Schizosaccharomyces pombe: one gene and its partner. The gene in region 2 interacts genetically with the main gene of each other region. Each region holds a gene or a part of one and is shown on either strand. Other genes may lie near its edges.

Region 1 (3,545 bases), on a different chromosome or scaffold from region 2:
GTTGCTATGCAATCCTCCTTATATATCTGATGATGATTTTGCTGCACAAACCGACATTTCTGTGCGCAAATACGAGCCCAAGCTGGCTCTTTTAGCTAAAAACGGAGGTAATGAGTTTTATTACAAATTTAGTCAGTACATAAAAAGGATGTTACAAAGAAACGCCAAGGATTTTGTACCTTTATCCTTAATAGTTTTTGAAATCGGTAGCACTCATCAAGCTAAAATAGTGAAATCATTATTTGATGATACCAACTGGCAAGCGAATATTGAACAGGATGGCGCACATCAAGATCGAGTGGTAATAATCACCAGAAAAGATAGACGACTCATTGACATTTAAAAAGACTTCATTTGCTAAAACACAAAGAAATTATAACGCACTGAATCAAACATCGTTTTGAATCTGACCTGACTTACAAACATTTACGACTTTAGTCATAAATTCCAGACTAAGCTAACACTTAATACAATGATGAATTCAAAGTTACTAGGAGATTAAATCAAAATGAAACAAAAAAAAACTTTTTATTTAGTGAGTAAAAATAATATCAACAGATAAAATTAAACATTAAATGACATCTGCATTACGGAGAATATAAATCCTTCTCTAATATTTACCACCCGCGAGTAGCCAATTTTTCCTTCTCCTCCAAAGAGCTAACGCTGCGACCAACCATGGCGGCGCCCAAGTTCTCACTAACTTCAGCTAAAATCTTAGGATCGTTATAGTGAGTAACGGCACGAACAATGGCACGAGCACGCTTGGCCGGGTCACCAGACAAGAAGATGCCAGATCCTACAAAAACACCATCACAGCCAAGTTGCATCATGAGAGCAGCATCAGCAGGAGTGGCAACACCACCAGCAGCAAAGTTGACAACAGGCAAACGGCCTAATTGAGCACACTCCTTAACCAAATCAATGGGGGCGGCAATCTCCTTGGCATAGGTGTACAACTCATCGGGAGACATAGACTTCACACGACGAAGTTCACCTTGCATTTGGCGAGTGTGGCGGACAGCCTCCACAACATCACCAGTACCGGCCTCACCCTTGGTACGAATCATGGCAGCACCCTCGGAAATACGGCGCAGAGCTTCACCCAAGTTACGGCTGCCACAAACAAATGGAACAGTGAACTTGGATTTCTCGATATGGTTGATATCATCAGCAGGCGTTAAAACTTCAGACTCATCAATATAGTCAACACCAATGCTTTCCAAAATTTGAGCCTCGACGAAGTGTCCAATACGAACCTTAGCCATGACAGGAATTGAGACAGCAGCTTGAATTTCCTTGATCATAGAGGGATCGGACATACGAGCAACACCGCCCTGAGCACGAATATCGGCAGGAACACGCTCCAATGCCATGACAGCGCAAGCACCAGCAGCTTCAGCAATACGAGCTTGCTCTGCATTCACGACATCCATGATAACGCCACCCTTGAGCATTTGAGCAAGACCAGCCTTGACTTGAGTAGATCCCTTAATTTCGGCAGACATGATTAAGTAGATGCGATTAATTAAAATTTACTTTTTCCAAGCAAACAATAGGATGTATAAAGTGGTAAAACGAAAATGCAACAATGATTTTTCTATAGATATAATGGTCTTTGCCTTTAGACAAATGAGATACAAGGATCCTTTAAAGAAAACACCTAAAAATCAAAAAAATGAACCTTTCGAAACTCAGAACCTGACCAAGTTTTTATGTCAACACACAAAATGTGACTGTGATGATGGAAGAAATTAATCGAATAGCAAACAACACTCGCCTTATATACATTTTCATGCTTACCAAGATGTAATATAACGAAGCGTAGCATACACTACTTTAGGAAGTAAATGTCCGAAACCATTTGATTGATCCCGATAAGTATACAGTGGAGGCGCGTAGAAGATGTAAGCAACTTACAATTGATGTTGAAGCGATTTACAAAGAGGCGGATGTCTTTCTTTATCTAAACGACCTGCTAAACCTAACGTCAAATTGTTATGCTTGGAGGGAAAGCACAAAAACTGTTTCTCTCCTAAAGTCGACTTTAATAAAAGAATCCTCCTATTTATTTACATGCTGCAATTATCCGACAATTCATACTTTTGAGATGCTTCGTCATACTTTTAAAACGTACAAAACAATAAAGAATTACTAAATGAAATTGCTCATCATATATCCGGCGTATAAGTCATGTCTTTACTACCTTTATGGAAAGTTGCATACATTTTTTAGCGATCAATGGTAACAGGCGTGAACCGATTGCATCGGAAATATGGATATAAGCGTTCTACCAGATAATTTCTTGGTATGTTACCGATCAGCGTCTGCAATGTCCGTAATTTTTTGATGGATTAGGATACTGACTACCGACACCCAATATTCTTTATCTTATTTTGTGGGGACTGAGGTATCCAAGTCGCCGAAGAATGATCGATGTATCCATCTTGCGAGATATTTGCATGTCCATGGAAATAGATTTTATCAATACTAATTAAGAAGCCGCAAGTAGAGCCTTTCCTAACAAGGGCTTTATGCATCGCTTTATATACGCTGCTTCAATTGTCATTAGATTTTTGTTATGCAGTAATGTTTAACATTGTTTACCTTGAAACAAGATCGTTGAACTGGAAATGTAGTAATACTTCAAGGACTCCTCGTGTCCTGTTTGTTGTTTAATATAAACATACCAGGAATTGATTGGTATAACAATAACTGACTAGTAAAAAAAATCTGAAAAGAAACACATATTATTTATAACACTGCAATGTACCTAAAAACTGAAATACTCGTTTTCCACTGCTGTCTTATAGACTCATTTGAAAGGGTTTCAGCGTTTTTGTATGCAGTCATCCTCCCTATGAAACTAGTTGGCCATAAAGCGGTAGTAATTACTTTTGTTTTTCAAGCTAATAGCGGATGAGTAGAAGTACCAAAAAATTTACAACAAACTTTATCAAAATAACATCCTAGTTGTAAATTTTATGTGTAGATTAATTGATTTTATGGTATCTTTTGTTTTTAAATAAATTATTCCATTTTTCCCTCTCAAATTATTATTTTTTTTTTAAATATGACTGTTTTTTGCCATATTCGCTGTTTAGTTTGCACTTTTTTAGTTAGCTGAGTAACGTTATTACTGTCTCTTTGTAATCTATAAATATAAGCATTTTATTACATCTTTTCAAAAAAAAAATAATAATAATAATAATAATAAAATTTTATTACTGAAACAGCGTAGAATTCCGTGGCATGTTGGGTAATACTTTTCACATGCCGTAGAGAAAATATCAAAAATTGTTTCCTTTTACGTTACAACCCCTACCAACGCCCTAACATCATAAAAGAAAAAGATTTAAAGTAGAAATAACAAGTTACAAAAGTCGCCCGCAACAGGTTACTTTGGTCGATCTACATGTACACCAAAAAAGTGACATTTACTGAGGAAATACGAGGAATGAGTCTTTCAAAAAATTATGTACGTATTAGAAAAAAATTACTATTCAGATATTCAACGACAACAAAGTAATCCATTATAAGTTGGT
Region 2 (4,295 bases):
TGGTTCTTCTTCATCTGAGTGGGCTGTTCGAGGACATAAGGAAAATGTTGAAAAGGCTATCGCTTCATTGGAAAAATCTATCAAGCAAGTTATGGAAAATTGTATTGCTTACTTGGGTATCCCAACGAACTTGCACCGTCGTATAATCGGTTCTGGTGGCTCTATTATTAATAAGATCCGAAAGATCGCCCAAGTTAAAATTGATGTTCCTCGTACTCCAGGCGATGAAATTGTAGTAGTCCAAGGAAGTCGAGCTGGCGTTGTCAAGGCTAAAGATCTGATTTTCGAGAGACTTCAAGAAAACCAAAATCAAGAGTAAGGTAAAATTTTGGAGCCTTTATTTAGTACTTACATTCATTTCTCAAATTTTTTTGAGAGTGTATTTGAAAATTATGTGTACGAAATATCATTTTGTCGCTCTTTTATTACTACATGTCATTTTTTAAGGAGACGGAAATTGCTTGAATCGAGCATTTTCCTTATTGATTCCTTCTTTGCTTTGTTACATTGCCTTTGTTTAATATTACAAATATAGACGCATAGGAAAAAGGCGTACCTAGTGCATTTATTCAATCTTTTCAGATATAAACATTGGAATGTATAGATAATTCAAGAAACTAGAATAGTTGAAATCTATGATTTTTTATGAGAAAATAAGCATTGTACGACAGATAGGACACAACAAGTTTTAGTAAAAGAATATTATAAATTTACAAACAACGAGCTAAAATTTAACCATTTCTCAAAAGAAGAACCATATTAGGACGTTTTTTTTTTCCAAATAGCGTAAATAAGTTAAAAAAACCCAGAAAACCCCAAAATAAAGAACACCGGAAGTAAGGAGAAATATGAGACGAAAGAATGTGGAGTATGAAGTATATAATGAAAGAAACAAAAGGCCTCGTACAATAAATAGACTATTGAAGAAGCGCATCGCGGAAATGCTTTTTTGTGTTATTCTTAATACCCATCTTGTTAGCAAATTCCTCTCTTCTTCTTTGGTCTTGGAATGATTTGATATGAGAGGCACTATAATTCTTACGGCCATCGCGAACACCAGCTATACTTGTTTCAACAGCTTGTCTATAAGCTCGGGCATTACCACTCATCGCACGTCTGGCGACGTTCTGATGAATAGAAGCACCATCTCCTACAGCGGTAGAACTAGAGTGAAGATTTTGGCGGAAGTAGCGAGATAACGAACGATGGCCCACACGATTACCAGAGGGTAAATGAAGTTCATATTCGTCAGCAATGGGTACACGACCCATTTCAAGACTATCTAAGCTGGAGTTATCTGAATCATCAGAAACATCTTCCCAGTCTCCTTCACCAGAGCTTCCATCTTCTTCTACGACAGTTTCGTCTTGCTTTACTGCATAGTCAGGATACGATGTAGTAAAATCATAAAAATCAGAGAGTTCAAGCTGTTCATCTTCTGTATCATAGGCAATAGAGGTATGCCCCTTTTGCTGCATATGGGCACGAACAGCTTCTAGTGATTTAAATTCACGATTGCAGGTAAGGCAAGTAAAGCCGATAGAAATTTTCTCTGCTAAATAATCGAATAGACTTGGTTCATCTACCAAATATTCCCGCTCAGGAATGTACAAGCTATGAGAAGCCTTCATATGCTTCTTGCATGTATCAAATGAAGAAAAAGAGGCTGCGCAAAACAGGCAATCTCTTGGTGAAAGACGTTGACTACTTCGACGAGCAAGTTCAGCTTCAATTTCTTCAGGAGTTGGTTCTTGTGTAAATAGATGAGACTTGGAAGCTTCGTTCGATTGAGGTATGGAAGTAGCCAATTCAGTTTTAGAGGGTTCACTTTCTCGACCATGAAGAGATAAGTTGGAAAGGGATATCGCCCTTGATGTCAGTTGTGAAGCTAAATCTTCTTCTTCCTCAATTTCGCTATCAACTACAGGTTCACCCATTGACAAGGTTGAAGAAGCAATACTACTTGCATCTTCACTTTGAAGTTTCTTAATACGGCTGTTTCTTTGAAATTTGCTCAAGTTATCGCGATGCTTCTTCGAAGCCATATGTGATGAATAGGCGCCTTCTGAATAAAACTTTTTATTACATACTTCACAGTTTTGATAAAATTCTGCTTTTTTCTGGACTTCCTCGTTCTGCTTTTGAATGGACAAAATCTTTCCAGCAAACACCTCAGCACTCAACGGCGGCAAGCTAGCAACCTTTCTCTTCAGATTATAATGATGCCAGTCAGACTTCCAATGTATTTTCTGTGATTCTGCATTATTGAAAGCCACAGTACAAGTCGTGCAAGCAAAAGAAGTCGACATTTCGGTATTCTGTCAAGTAATTCAATTCTTAGCCAGTACACTTTTTTATCGAAAAAAAAATTGATATTGAAGCCGAGTCTTTCCTCAAATATATTCTTTGACTCAAACTAACTTAATGAGATGAAGTCAACCCTTTTTTACAATACCTTGCACAAAAAGGTGTTGGTTGAATCCAACTTGCCTACGATCAACTATTGCCTACATAACTTGTAGCACCACCAAATTATTTTAAAGTGTCAAATAATTATCAATTTTATTGAAATCAAATAAAATTAATTGATATGTTAAACATCTTAATGTCTTGTTTTTTTAAACTTAATTTATGCATCCCTCAAAAACATTTTCTATTGCTTAGTAACATAAGGCGTACCTTTTGATTAACCAGTAAGTCCTAAGAAAACTCATATATAGACAAAGGGCTGGAAAGAAAGAAATGGCATGCATTGTAGTTTTAGCGAGCACACGAGCTCCCACTCTTCAGGGTTTAATTAAAATTGAGTATTTGAAATTGAGGTATTTTTGAGTTAGTTTCGTTGGAATAATCATATAGGAAATACATAATAGAGTTTAATGTCTTTTCCTTTTGTTTAATAAGTTTCCTTGCCTCAATAAGAAAGTTAGCACATGTGCTTTCTTATCTCTTTTCCCTCGGGGTTTAATTAGTGTTAAAATTTCGTTTTATGATAAATGGTCAGCTGTTTCTTTTAAACCTTTCACTAAATGACTCAGTGTTCCAGGATCTCTAGCACGATTGGGATACCAATCCTCAAACAGATTATTCCATAATTCCTTCTCCTCAGTATCTTCGGGTGAAAAAAAGTAAGAAGGGTTTCCAGATGATTTCTCTTTAAATTTCATTGACCATGCTTTAAAAGTTTCAATTTGTTCCATGATTTCTTCTTCATTCATCAATTTCAAGTCATCGTCACTAAAATTTATATCCCAATTATTTGCCTTTGATCCAAGAAACAATGTAAGCATCGTAATTGTAATCTGCTTATAGTTAGCATTTTACTCCACTAAATGTGATTGAAATCAACAGTCATAAAAGATAGATAGACAGCAACATTAGAGACTTACGAAAACTTTGCTTAAAAAGGAGTTTCCATTTTTTTGCTTCGCAACCTTAGCTGCTTTTAAAAATATATTTGTAAAAATACAGTTTCTATCTCTCATATCAGAAAGCAGAAGAAGAAATAAAACTTTCAAAGAAGAATAACAGACGATAGGACCGACTTCAAGACTACAAATTTCGCATAATTTTTCTGACAGTTTAATGTTCCAATCATTGACGTCTCGCAGACAGACCATTTCCTTTGCAAAGCATCCAAACTTATTTAAAGCTAAAACCAAGTTTTGCGTTTCACTTGTAAAGTTAGCAATCTAATAACAAAAAGAAAAATCCTTACTCATTGCCATTCAACTGATTTTTTTTGTTTATTTTTTTTCTTTGAATGTATGCATTGAGTTGCTCGTGTAAACTTTCTGCTAAATCATTATATACATTGTCAATGGCAAATAATATATCTTCCTGTACAACTTTGTTGACCGCCAATCGGTGGAAGAATCTGCTGCACAAAATCATCAGGAAGTTAACGGTAGTTGAATTAAATATATCCAGTATTTCTTTATACAACTTTGAAAAGTCCTTATGAAATTCTCTCTTATAAAGAAGCTCGTCAGGAATTTGCTCTACGCATTTTATAAAAAAGTATGATGAAACACAAGATTCTCTGTATTTCTGTAATAGTAATGGAAGGTTTCGTAACATTGCTTGCTGTTGGTTTACGACCTCATCTTCAAGTCTTTTACCTGGCTTCTTCGACTAGAGGTTTAGTAATATGAAGCTTTAAATAACTTACTCTTTTGCTAATATGTGTTGCAAAATAATGGAGATAGATAGAAGAAAATTCTATCACTGCGTTGCTCGGTATACAGGGGTTTAAGACACTGTTAGTATCTTTTGCATCAAAGCGATCATAAAGC

The links. A genetic interaction does not mean that the proteins touch.
Region 1: mutations in rei1 (region 2) and snz1 together harm fitness more than expected from each alone (negative genetic interaction), as found in Schizosaccharomyces pombe (one large-scale study listed by BioGRID).

Annotation. Positions count from the first base shown.
Region 1 is NC_003424.3:5,413,149-5,416,693, reverse strand, and holds snz1 (pyridoxal 5'-phosphate synthase (glutamine hydrolyzing)), read right to left. Parts: upstream 1,757-3,545; 5' UTR 1,509-1,756; coding exon 618-1,508; 3' UTR 501-617; downstream 1-500. Other genes in the region: mtq1 (S-adenosylmethionine-dependent methyltransferase), read left to right, coding at 1-343.
Region 2 is NC_003421.2:1,220,699-1,224,993, forward strand, and holds rei1 (ribosome biogenesis protein), read right to left. Parts: upstream 2,484-4,295; 5' UTR 2,310-2,483; coding exon 918-2,309; 3' UTR 541-917; downstream 1-540. Other genes in the region: vgl1 (vigilin), read left to right, coding at 1-319; meiotic cohesin complex STAG protein Rec11, read right to left, coding at 2,988-3,302, 3,390-3,675, 3,719-4,134, 4,172-4,295.